Linked DNA regions of Caenorhabditis elegans. The protein of the gene in region 2 purifies or fractionates together with the protein of the main gene of each other region. This does not show direct contact. Each region holds a gene or a part of one and is shown on either strand. Other genes may lie near its edges.

Evidence for each region.
Region 1: the proteins of dyf-19 (region 2) and dyf-11 purify together in Caenorhabditis elegans (affinity purification with western blotting, with the first as the bait; one study listed by BioGRID). This does not show direct contact.

What each region holds. Positions count from the first base shown.
Region 1 is NC_003284.9:761,749-767,239, forward strand, and holds dyf-11 (TRAF3-interacting protein 1), read left to right. Parts: upstream 1-2,003; 5' UTR 2,004-2,020; coding exon 2,021-2,161; intron 2,162-2,390; coding exon 2,391-2,549; intron 2,550-2,930; coding exon 2,931-3,077; intron 3,078-3,133; coding exon 3,134-3,597; intron 3,598-3,833; coding exon 3,834-3,963; intron 3,964-4,013; coding exon 4,014-4,346; intron 4,347-4,668; coding exon 4,669-4,902; 3' UTR 4,903-4,991; downstream 4,992-5,491.
Region 2 is NC_003283.11:19,623,147-19,631,078, forward strand, and holds dyf-19 (Fas-binding factor 1 C-terminal domain-containing protein), read left to right. Parts: upstream 1-1,902; 5' UTR 1,903-1,915; coding exon 1,916-1,948; intron 1,949-1,995; coding exon 1,996-2,118; intron 2,119-2,227; coding exon 2,228-2,296; intron 2,297-2,659; coding exon 2,660-2,904; intron 2,905-4,198; coding exon 4,199-4,537; intron 4,538-4,740; exon of another isoform or gene 4,741-4,798; intron 4,799-5,634; coding exon 5,635-5,715; intron 5,716-5,851; coding exon 5,852-5,957; intron 5,958-6,090; coding exon 6,091-6,213; intron 6,214-6,270; coding exon 6,271-6,359; intron 6,360-6,681; exon of another isoform or gene 6,682-6,753; intron 6,754-6,782; coding exon 6,783-6,912; intron 6,913-7,211; coding exon 7,212-7,478; 3' UTR 7,479-7,615; downstream 7,616-7,932.

The DNA.
Region 1 (5,491 bases), on a different chromosome or scaffold from region 2:
ATTTCTCTATTAGTCTTGCTTGCAAAATTAATTTTCGCATTGCTCGTAGGGGGTGCAAGACTAATAGAAGCTGCAGGACTAATAGAGGAAATACGGTATATAGTTGTACGTTATAAATTTTTCAAAAGTTTTCAGCTTTTGAATGCCAATTCAGCGTGGCTGCTCATTAGGAAACTACTGAATTTATACATGAGAATAATAATTTTTTAACGAATATACTTGCAAAAAAAAAGTGTTGTCTCGCACCTTTTTTTTCTCTTCTGGGGGTTTCCGAAGATTTTGGATATTCAATATGTAATTTCAAATATGAAGTCTCTTCAACGAAGAAAATATCAAACAATTTATTTCAGGTGCTGAAGCTGGGAAATATAATATAAGAAAAACGGGAAACCCCCGTTCACATTGACAATTATGGCTGAATGTACATACCCGAATTTGAGTTAGTTTCGCGCGCGAATGATGTTTTGCGGAAATTCAATCTTATTGTTTTTTGTACATATATATGCTTATTGTGATTGATTTCTTTATATTTTGTTGATAGTTTTCTATATACAGAAAGTTTTCAAATATTTTTCAAAAATGAACCTCTTTCTAAAAAATAATGGACCTTCTGGAAATTTTTCTAAAAATTCATGGCGATTCAAATTTCATTTTTTAATTGAATTTTCATTACTGAAAACGGACTTTTCTCGGTTTTTTTCTTCAATTTTTGAAACGTGCTGAAATGTACTATTCAATAAAATCCAATAATCCTGAAAAGTAGACCACAACGTAGCACACACGAGTAATTAGCGTGTTCCCTTTTTTTGTTGGTCTCTGAAATCGTGGCAATACGTGGATTCAAAAATTCATAAAATATGACGTCACAAATTTTTACATAGTGCAATTTTCATTTAAAAAATCATCGTGGCGTCAAAGCATTAAAGCCATGTGGCGCCCTAATTTCCAGAGGTCAACCTAAGATGGGACAATCTAAATACCCATAACCACAAGAAAGTAGAAAAAAAAATGGATTGTATTATTATGTTTGTCCATATAAAAAGATAAATAAAAATTAGAATTATTGACCAAATTAGTTTGTTTTTTTTTAAATAAGTAGTCTAGTATACTTGTAACTATATATTTTTCTAACGCCTACTACAAATGACGTCATATTCAATTTCAGCTGCCTTAAACAAATGACATTTTTTACGTTTCGTTCATATAGCCTATTTCACGTTTTTGCCTACTATTCTAGATTTTGGAACTTATGTTTTTTTTTAAACGAAAGTTATAAGTACCTCAATATTAAACAGGAAATTATAAATTTAAACATATCTCTACAATAAATGTTAGCATTCGGCTTATAAACAATTTGTTTATGTTTTTATCAAATAAAAACAGTGTATATTTAAATAAAGGATTATTTCTATTTGATTTCCACAATCGCGGGAAACCTCTGAACATTAAATCATAATTTTTGATCTACATGAGAAGCTTCTACTTTGTTTTTATAGAGCTAAGAACGAGTCAATGAAAAAATTATATTGTTAGATGAAGATTGTTTTCCTAAAAGTTTCGATGTGATTTTCATAATATATGTAAATCTGCTAAAAACAAAATTTTCCACGATTTCTTGTACTGGTCGCAATTTGACCACCATTTATAACATTCCAGTCTACTTTCTTCTTTGTTTTCACCCATTTTTCTGACGTATTATATAATCAGAAAAAAATACAATATATTGTGCGAAAATTAAAGAATTGTAATCAGTCACAAAATACCTCAACTAAGACACATTATTCTGCTGCTCTCATCGTCTCACGCACTCTTTGCGCGTAAGGTGGTCTCCATGACAACGTGCCCCCTGCCTCAACAACTCGCCACACAGCGCCACCTGATATTAGCGTGCTCTCTCTCTCTTGCGTGTATTACCGCTGTTTCATTCCTCTTTTTTGTCAGCATTTTTCACCTTAATATTGTTTTTCATGTATTTCATGTTTTTCGCAACTTGTAATGAGATTTTTGCAGTAAAAGTGCGATGAGCGTTGAGGAAACTCGGGAAATTCTTGAGAAAGTAATTCAAAAACCACAACTAACTGATCAACTGCTTTCACGACCACCATTCAAATTTATTGTTGATATAGTTAGCAATGTGATAAAGTCTACGGGGTATTTGAAGGTGGGTATTTGAAAATTTTATTCATAATAAAAAATTATGCGCGAAAATGTAGATTTTAAGAAATGTAATGTGGTATGAGAAAAAAAGAGAAAAAACCAGTGCCCAACTTTAGTTTTAAAGTTTTCGTTTGTCAGTGATGCGAAGTTTTTGGTCAGTGCTGTGCCAAGTTACTCAGTGCTGTGCCAACTTGGTCAGCGCATAAATTTTCGCTAAATTTTCATTTTAACAGACTGACTTCACCGACGATGAAATAAAGTCCGCTGGCAACGACAAAAACACCAAAACTGCCTTTCTTGACAAGCTGATCAAGATTCTAGATGACGGAAGTCTCAAAAACGTCAAAGCCGCCAAAATAATATCGGGGAAGGACGCGGAAGAAACCAACAAAGTGAGTTTACATTCTATTAACAAGAAATATCTGTAATGAAAAAAGAAGGCGCAGAATTTTAAACAGAATTTACAATTCGATGTGAAGTCGCTTCAATCAAATTTTAAAAAATCTGGTCAATCAGAAATTTTTTTTTAACTTAAAAAAAAAATTCGATTTCTTCCGTAAATTATATCAAACTAAATTAGTGCCCTAATCATTTTTTCTATTTAAATTTTCTGATTTTTTGTGATAAAAATATGCTTAATAGTAAGATAAAGTATTTAAGCCGTTTTCAACTTGGTCAGTGCATTACCAGATTGGTCAGTGCTACACCAAGTTAGCCATTGCTTTCGCTCGTCTCAGTTCTTAGTGCTTTTTTTACCTTTTACATTTATTCAGATGCTGCAAATGTTGGGAACAAATGCTACGAGTTTCAATTCAAGGAATGGTACCGGAGAGGAGAAAAAGAAGAAAAAAGTAAAGAAAGAGGACAAAAAGGGAGATGAAGAAGAGAAGTCAACTACTAAAAAACGTAGCAGTAAGAAGGTAGAGTGCACTTTTAAATATTTGTTTCCCCATAAACTCAGTTTTATCATTTTAAGGAAACGCATGAAGAGAAGGAAAAATCGGAGAAGAAAAAATCTGCAGAAGAGAAAGAGAAGAAGAAAAAGTCTTCGAGTTCAAAAGAACGGCATAAGTCTAGTGACAGGTCTAGCGAAAAGTCAAGCGAAAAGTCCAGCAAGGAGAAAAAGAAGGAAAAGAGCACAACAGACGAAAAACCCAAAAAGAGCAAAAAAGACCCGAGTGAACGGCATTTTAAACGACAAGACTCAATGATTGCTGTGAATGGAGATGCACCGGATACTCCGAACAATGAGAATGGAGATGAGGGTTATGACGATCATGAGATTTCTGAACCAACTGTTATATCAAATATGGAAACTGATTTGTCAGCTCAATCACTACTGATCCAACAGCCAGTGACGTCACCCTTGAAAACTGATGATAGTGGGATGGGTGAGAGCCCGAGAATGATCAAGCCCGAAGATAGACCCCCGTTGATAAGGTAACCTCTTACGGATTGGGTTTATCTTCAGTTCATTTTAAAAAATGTAGTGCACACTTAAATAATTTTCTGAAATTGAATTATCCGGCAAATTTTTGGCTTCAACATTGTTGGTTTACTCCTTCTTTGACCAACATTTTTTCAAATTCTAGAATAAGTTGTCAAAGTGAAATTTACACTGAGATTGAGATGATGATACACACAGTTTAATCAGCTTTTGACATAGAAAATTCCAGACCAATGACTGGTGCTGGAGGTGGTAGACCTATGACATCAATGGGAAGACCCGGAACCGCGGCTTCAAGGCCAGCGCCTCCAAAACTGAAAAAGAAACAAATTGCGACTGTTGACTCAACGCCACAAGTGGTAATAACATTGTTAATCAGTTTATTAATTCAATTTTGATACCACTTTAGGTAGTCGAACTCAAATCGGAAATCATCAGCGATGCTCCAAAAGTGGAAACCGAAGACGATAGCAATTTTATAATGGAAAATGACGAGGAAGATGGTGATAGAACCGCTAGAATTGAAGATTTAGTTGATGAAGAAGATAGAGGAGCTTTGGTGCAAAAAATCATGGAGACGAAGGCTGAAATTGAAGATGGAGGAGGACAGGATCAGGTTGAAGAGTCCGATGCTGATAAAATTATGACAGTTGAAAGAGAAAAGATGAAGCAACTGCAGGAGAAGCTTCAGGATTTAACAAGATCTGCTTATCCGCTAGCAAGGCTTTTTGATTTTGCAAATGTGAGTTTAATGAATTTCAGACAGTTTGAAAAACTTGGAAATGCCCGAAATTTTCCGGGCTCCTACGAATTTATACAGACAACGGAAGATGCTAGGGCTTTCAAATGAAAGTTGTTTTGGATGATGTATTGATACATACCGTATTTTCTCACTACCTTTGCACTACTTTACTTTGACAGCTTATGCATATCGTGAATTTTTTTTAATCAACATTTTTTAATTGGGGTTTTTTTTATATTTAATTTCAGTGCACGTAAGTACTATTTTACACATAAAATCAATTTTTTGACATTACATTCGTTATAAAAAATATATTTTTCAGGACGACATCGAATCAATGATTAAAGAACTGGAGCGATGGAGAAGTGAGCAGCGACGGAATGAGCAAGAGGATCAGAACAAAAAAGCGGCAGGATTCGGAGACAGCAGTAGACTCTACAACATCATCGCAAACTTACAAAAAGAAATCAATGACACGAAAGAAGAATTGAGCAAGGCTAGAGGACGAGTTCTCAACAATGAAAAACGCATTCAACTATTCATTTCCAATGTTTGATCTTTCAGTTTTCCCTATTCAGAAGGAGATTTTCATTTTATTGAATTAAATGAAAAGATAAACAAATAAATTATTTTATATTACTTAGAGCTTTGATACAATGTTACAAATTCGAATGAAAATTGAAGTTGCACCAATATGTTGTTGTAACTAAAACTAAAACTAAAATGTAACTAAAATGTTGTAACTAACAAAATGTTTTGTTTAGGTCCAACACTATTTCTTATTGGAGACAAAGTGGAGGAAATTTCCAATGCCACTCCTTAGCTAATTAATTATTAATTGTCTAAAAAGTCCTTTTCAGGATTAGTTTTAAATTCCCGAGCGTTCAACACTTTTTTTGATTGACAATGGCTTTTTCAAATTTACAATCAAGTTTATATCAAGTTTATAATTTATTTGTAACCCAAACAAAGAAAAAGAAACGTTTTTAACAGACCAGTTTGTTGGAATAACACAAAACTCAAGACGGATGGGATAAAAAAGTTGAATTAGTGCCCGATGGGCAGTCATTCGATGGTTTTGAAAAGAAAAAAGAACCCGCATGGGCAATGCAAAAAGGAAAAATGAACATTTTGATAAAATTACA
Region 2 (7,932 bases):
CTAAAATCAACAAGTTGAAGTTTAGAGCCGAAAAAAAATCAAAATTGGAATTTTTCACGAATGGCGCAGTGGGTAACACGGATGGTTACCACCCAGAAGGTCACAGGTTCGACCCCCCGTTGGGGTCAATTTTTTTTCTTGTTAAATTTGCTAGGATTCATCAATTTAAATGTCATAGAACACAGCTTAACTTTTAAATACAGATTTTCAACTCTAATTTGTTAAATATCAGTCTAAAATCCATAGTTTCCTAACTGAAAAAATAAAAATAACATATAAACCTAAAGTTTTAAGGTCAGAGCAAAAAAAAAGTCAAAATCCCAATTTTGCACGAATGGCGCAGTGGGTAACACAGATGACTACCACCCAGAAGGTCACGGGTTCGACCCCCTGCTAGGGTCAATATTTTTCTTTTTCACTCATACCAAACAATTTTAAAGCATAGTCTATTTGTTGGTTACGGTAGATGCCGATTCGTCCAAATAAAACGGGCAATTTACGATTTTGTTGATGATAAGATCGATGAGAGACGCAGAGACGGCGGCTGGCTACTCGCAAATTAGTAGTGACCGATATGCGGGGGAAAACTGATGATATCAGCTGATAAGGACATCCGGACACACAGAGCAGTTTTGGACTCAATTTGGGCCATGTATGGCATAGAGCCAATAGCGGTGACCAATTTTCCCTAATTTTTTGTGAGTTGTAACTTAAAAATTCAGATTCTCCGTGAAATTTGGATAGTTTTAACACCCATATTGGCTAGGTTTGAGCAACTTAAATATTTGGGCCGAAATAGGCTGAAATGAACCGAATTCAGGCCTAATATAGGCATGTTCCAAGTCATGATAGTTTTTAACTGCGTTGTCTTTAGCTTTAGAGTTTAAAAAAAATTTTGACTCTAGCGGGGGGTCGAACCCGTGGCCTTCTGGGTCATAGCCATCCCTGTTACCGACTGCGCCACTTGGTCGAAATTTTATTTTTTATCTTTTATTGCCAGAAGAATTATTTTAGGGCATTTTTCAAAGTTTCTGGCGTCAAAATATTGAAATTTTGGGTCGAACTATCCAAAAAACCGGTAAAATTCGAAAAACCCTTTGACAGATTCAAGATCTTAGTAAAAACTGCAAAATGTTACTTGCACACTTTCAAAAAATAATTAAATGTGTGAAACGCAATTGAAAAAAAAATGGCTACGCTGGGGGTCGAACCCGTGACCTTCTGGGTGCCAGCCATCTCTGTGACCTACTGCGCCATTTGAGCAAAAATTTTATTTTCCAACTTTTTTGTGTAATAACTCAAAATTCACGGTTAAAAGCGAATTTTATCGCAAAATCTGCCAATTTTTGTTCCGCAAGTCGTTGTTTTTCAAATTTCCACTGAGTTTTCCTTGTTTACCCCCCTTTCCCCTATGCCCCCTAGGTTCCCCGGGTAATCATTTGTTATCAGCGAGGTCTGCTATACATTTCCCTATTATTTCCGTCTCCAGCTTCTTTCTTCCTCTGCAAACTCTCGAAGCTTCTGCCCCAGTCGGTTACTATGGCAACCCCCTTCTTTAAGCTTCACCCCCTTCGTCCCGCTTAGACCCTTTATTCTCGATTTCCCGCATTTTATTATGTTTTTACTGAAATTTTTAGGTTTTAGGTATTAGAAATAGGTTGGTTAAAAAGTTTTGGAAAAGTTTAGTGAGTTTTGGAAATTTTTAGAATTTTTTAGAGCTAATTTTCGATTTTCCTGGAAATTATGTCCGATTTTGCGGTTTTTTGCAAATTTTTTGACCAAAACCTTGAAAAAAATGATTTTTTGTTAGTTAAAATTAGTTTTAGAAACGTTTTTTGAAAAATTTTTTTTTGGCATTTTTTCGAAAAAAAATGTTTTTTTCAAAAACAAAAAAAATTTTCCAGATTTCTCGTGTATGTCAGACGATGAGTGGGGAGATTTATTAGATGTGCGTTTTCAGCATATTTTCAAAAAAAAATTCGATATTTTATTCAGAATTTAGACACCGAACCACCCCAGCCAGCACCACCACCTCCCCCCAATTTGCCGGGAAATTCGAAAAATTCGCGGCCGAAAAGTAGTGGACTAGATTTTTTATTGGACTCTGACTTGGATAAGGTGATTTTGTGACTTCTTTTTGGGAAAAAACTGCGAAAAATCCAAAAAAAAAAGGCTTTTGGCCTATTTTGGCCTGAATTTTGGATGATGCTATAAGACTGATTTTCAGGAACCGCAGGCACCTAAAACTGTAAATTTTGCAACAAACCGGGAAGAAAATACATCTGAAATGAGAGCGGTAAGTTTAAAAAAAAAAATGTTTTTTGAAAATTTTTTTATTTTTTTTCTTGACCCAAATTTTTCTAAAAATCTGTATTTCAACGTTTTTATCTTACCTTAAGCTTTAAAATGACACCCATATCGCCTATACCCCGTTAATTTTCATTTTTGGATCAACTTTTGGGTGCCTACAGTATCCTCGTGGCGGGACCCTAAACATCAAAATTACGGGATTCTAAGCAATATTGGGGTTATTTGAAAGCTGGTAATATCATAAATGGCCTATCGAAGAGTAACATTCCAAAAATAAGACATTTTTCAAAAAAAAAATTTTTTTCAAAATTTCGAAAAAAAATTATTTTTCAAAATTTCCTAAATTCAGGCTGGTCGTTCTACAAATGCTCTCAGCGACCTATTTGGCACAAGCACGGGCTCTGGGCTTGGAGCATCAGGTGCGGCGTCGGCTCCACGGAGACCCGCAGGCGCCTCCACCCTCGACGACCTTTTTGGCACGGCGCCAAGAGCTGCTACAGTAACCCCAGGGGTTACTGTAGCCGCTCCGGCGGCTTCACAGCCAACGGCTACTGCTCCACCACCGGATAATTTTGATGCGGGAAGGATTTTGAGGTAAATTTGAAATTTTCGAAAAAAATTTTTTTTTCAAAAATTCAAAAAAAACTTAATTTTTAATTTTTGTTAATTTTCGTTACTTTATCACTTTCAGCTCACTGAGAGCTTTAAAATGACACCCATATCGGCTATACTACCCTAATTTTTCAAAATTTGGGCATTCTTCGAGTACCTACAGTACCCTTCGTAGCGGGACCCAAAAATCGGAAATTAGAGGACTATGGGCATAATGGATGTTATTTTGAAGCTAAAAAGCTGAAAAATGAGATAAATCAAACAAAAATTATCTGAAATCGATAATTTTGAGAAAATTTCAAAATTTAACGTTTTCGAAAAACACATTTTTTGAATTTTTTTCAAAAATTCGAAAAATTTCAAATTCAAATTTTTGTTCGTTTTTTGATATTTTATCGCCTTCAGCTCTCTGAGAGCTTCAAAATAACACCCATATCGGCTAGTTTCCGTCATTTTTCAAAATTTTAGAATATTTCGGGTGCCTACAGTACCACTCGTGGAGGGACCCAAAATCCAAAAACTAGAGGGTTCTGAGCATTATTGGGGTTATTTTGGAGCTGAAAACGTGAAAAATCGATCAAAAATAAATACTTTAATCATAAATCAATAAATATTGAGAAAATTTTGAAATTAAAAATTTTCGAAAAAAAAAATTTTTTGAAATTTTTTTTTCAAAAATTCAAAAAAAAATTTTAATTTTTAATTTTTTTAAATTTTGGCTATTTTATCACCTTCAGCTCACTGGGAGCTTCAAAATGACACCCATATCGGCTATACTACCCTAATTGTTCAAAATTTGGGCATTATTCGGGTACTACAGTACCCCTCGTGGCGGGACCCAAAATCCAAAAATTAGAGGATTATGGGCATAATTGGTGTTTTTGATGCTGAAAAATAGAGAAATCAATAAAGTCGATAGGAAATCAGCTTTAAAAAAACTTTCTTTGAAATTTTTTTTTCAAAAATTCAAAAAAAGTTATTTTTTAATTTTTGGTAATTTTGTTTTTTTTTCAGTATTTTATCACCTTCAGCTCACTGAGAGCTTCAAAATAACACCCATATCGGCTAGGTTCCGTCGTTTTTTTTTTAAATAAGAGCATAATGGATGTTTTTTTAGGCTAAAAAATGAAAAAATCGATAAAATCGATAGGAAATCAGCTAAAATCGGTAATTTTGAAAAAATTTTGAAATTCAAAATTTTTGGAAAATTTTTTTTTTAATTTTATATCAAAAATCAAATTCTGGAACAAATTTCTCAATTTTTTTCAAATTTCAGACTAGAAGCCGAGCTAGAACGTGTAAACCGTGAGCTTGAAGACACAAAACGCAAGAAACGAGAAGACGAGGAAGATTTGGAGAATTTCTGGAAAACCAAGCTGGAAATCCAGTCAAAAGACTCGGAAAAGGCACTGGAAGACTCAAAAACTGCACAAAGAGCACAAATTTCAAAGCTTCAAGATGAGCATCACGTGGAGCTCGAAAGGCTTAAAGCCAATTACGATAGGCAGCTAGAGAATGTGACGTCATCGACGAGTCAGGTTGGGGATCTAGTGGCAGTGGTGGGGAAAGTGGATACAATTTCTACGAATATTGATAAAATTGCGGCGGATGTGGTGTAAGTTGACTATGTGCCTTTAAAATTGAAAAATATTAAAAAATCGGTTTAAAAAATTTTAAAAATCGAAAAATTCGCCCCAAAACTTCAAAATTTTAAAATTTTGAGCAGATTTTCTGATTCTCCGTGCAAAATTACCCCTAACCCTCAATTTTCAGATTCAGATTTTTTGTGCAACTTTGCGTCAAATCCGGTGTCTTGAGTTACTGTACCTCGGTGTTTGCGTACCTGACACCTGATTTTACGGAATTTTGAGTTAGAGCTCTGAAAAATTAGGGAAAGAGGTAGTTTGGCATGGGTAATCTGGAAAATTATATAAAAATTTCAGGAAGTTTTTGGAAAACGCTGAAATTTTAGTAAAATCCAAAAAAGGTCAAAAATTCACAAACCAAGTGCGCAAACTTGGCCCAAAATTCAAAATGTTTGAATTTTGAGCTCATTTTCTGATTCTCCGTGCAAAACCACTCCTAGGCCTCAATTTTCAGATTTTTAGTGCAACTTTGCGTCAAATTTGGTGTGTTGGTACCTTCAGTAGTACCTTGGTGTTTGCGGACTGGACACCTGATTTTACGGAATTTTTGAAATTTTCGGGATAGGGGTAACTTGGCATGGGGAATCTGAAAATTCACACAAAAATTTATGAAACTTGAAAAAAAATCTTGAAATTTTAGAAAAAACAATTCAAAAATTAAAAAATTCGGGCCAAATCTTGGCCCAAACTTTGAAATTTTGAGCAGATTTTCTGATTATCCGTGCGAAGTTACCCCTAATCCTCCATTTTCAGATTTTTAGTGCAACTTTGCGTGAAATTCGGTGTCTTGGGTTACTGTACCTTGGTGTTTGCGGACCTGACACCTGATTTTACGGAATTTGGAGCTAGAGCTCTGAAAAACTAGGTCTAGGGTAGTTTTGGATGGGGAATCTGAAAATAGACATGAAAATTTCTGAAAATTTACAGAATCCTCTAAAAATCCTGAAAAAGTTGAAAAATCATGATTTACGCAAAACAGTCCTTAAAAATTTGTTTTTTTTCAAATTTTTCCTTCAGAGCTATTGATTCTGGTGCTAAAAACAAATTACAAGTATTGATTTTCCAGAGCAAGCACCAATAAAGTGAGCTCGGAGCAAAGCGCTCTTTTCCACTTGCAAGAGGAACTGCTGAAAATTCGAGAGACAAAGTGAGTCATATCTCAGTAGCCAAGCTTGCTATCAAAAAATTGTCAACTAACAACTTGTAGCTCTTGTTACGGAGCACATTTTGTCAGTTGAAAATTTTTCGATAGCTCTGCGGGTTCTCAAGTTATGAAGCTTCAGGCTCTCCGAGGATGTGGCGGCTCTGAAGCTTGAGCAACTGAAAGTTCATGAGCTTAACCTAAGCTTGAAGGATTTGGTCAAAAATCAACAGGATGAAAATGAACAAGTATGTAATTAGAGTACAATGTTTAAAATGTATTGGAAAGTTTTGAAATTTTTGAAATTTTTTTTTTAATTTTCAAAAAAAATTTTGAAAAATTTTTTTAAAAATTTTTTCTGAAAATTTCCAAAAATTCAAGGAAAAATGGAGGACAAAAGAGGAGTGGAACCGTCTGAAAATTGAACGTCAAATTTTCAAGGAAAATCAAGACCGAGTCATTGAAAATGTGCAGAGAGAGAAGCTGGACCTGGCTAATAAATTGGTATGCTCCCCCCTCAAAATTTTTGGAATTTTTATAAAATACGCTCAAACATTTCAGAAATTCTACCACAAAGATCAAACCGAGCTGCTTTTCCGGCTGAGCAGTGAACGGGAGCTTTTGGAGCAGGAGAAGAGCGAATTCTTTGCGTAAGTTGGGTTATCAACAGAGCTACGGGGAAATCTAAACTAGTAAAGCGCAAAATTTTGAACATTTTCTTAGTTGGAAATTTTTCGCTAGCTATCACCGTTGCAGAGATACACCGCTTCAAAGTCTGCGCGCGAAATAGTGTGGGGGAGGAGAGACGCAGGCGCGCACCCTGCGTCTCTCCCCCCTCCACACTGTCTCGTCGCTGTAACTTTAAAGGCGCATAACTCTTCAGCCGGTAGAGATATCAAAAAATTTTCAACTGCAAAAATAATCAGCGTGAAATTCTGCGTCGGGTGAGCTATTCTATAAAAATTTTTCGACTGCCGGGTGGCTCAGTTGGGTAGAGAGATGGCTATCACGCACAGGTCCCTGGTTCGATTCCTTGTATAATATTGATGAGAATTATACGTTTTTTTTTCTAGAAAACGGGACCAGGACATCAAGAGAATCAAAGCAGAAGCCTACGAGCTGGATCTGAAATCTCAGCAAATTTCTACGGCTGACCAACATGTGACGGAGATGAAGCTGGTGACAGAGGCCAAGTACAGACAGGTTGGTTGTAAATTTATCGATTTTTTGAAAAATTATCGATCTTTTGGAAAAATTATCGATTTTTTGAGAAAGATCGATTTTTCGGAAAAATATCATTTTTTTGGAAAATGTATCGATTTTTAGGAGTTTTATCTATTTTTTGAAAAATTTATCGATTTTTTGGAAAATGTATCGATTTTTAGGAATTTTATCGATTTTTTGAGAAATTTATCGATTTTTTGAGAAATTTATCGATTTTTTGGAAAATGTATCGATTTTTCCCAATTTTCCCACTTTAAAAATCCCCAAAATTCCTTCAGCTTCAACACCTCGAGACCCTGCTCACCGCCGAATGCTCGGAAATCGAAAGAATCCGAAATGAGCAAAAAATCGGTGGAAACGTGGATTCGGGCCGGGACGCACGAAGAATAAGCCGTGAGGAGGAGCTGTTTGGTTCGAATAATTCCAATCAAAATAGTCATCGACATCGATCGGAAAGTGTTCGGGCTTCACTCAAAAAACACTATGAAAATTTGGAAAAATACGCCGGGCAGAAGGTTGCTCATGTTGCGCCGCAGAATAATTGAGTGATTATCGAGTTTTTGGTGGAAATATCGATTTTTTAAAGAATTATTGATTTTTGATTTTTTACGACTACAATTGTGATAAAAAATGTAGAATATTGTAATGTTTTGAAATAATAAATTTATTATCGATTTTTTTTAAATTTCGATGGATTTATCGATTTTTTGGTGAAAATATTGATTTTTTTAAGAATTATCGATTTTCGGCATTTTTATAACTAAAATTGTGAATTAGTACATTTTCAGTCAATTTTTGGCGGGAAATTCAAAAATTCAAATTTTCAATTAATTTTTGGCGGGAAATTCAAATTTTCAGTCAATTTTTGGCGGGAAATTTGAAAATTCAAAGTTTCAATTAATTTTTGGCGGGAAATTCAAATTTTCAGTCAATTTTTGGCGGGAAATTTAAAATTTCAATCAATTTTTGGCGGGAAATTCAAATTTTCAGTCAATTTTT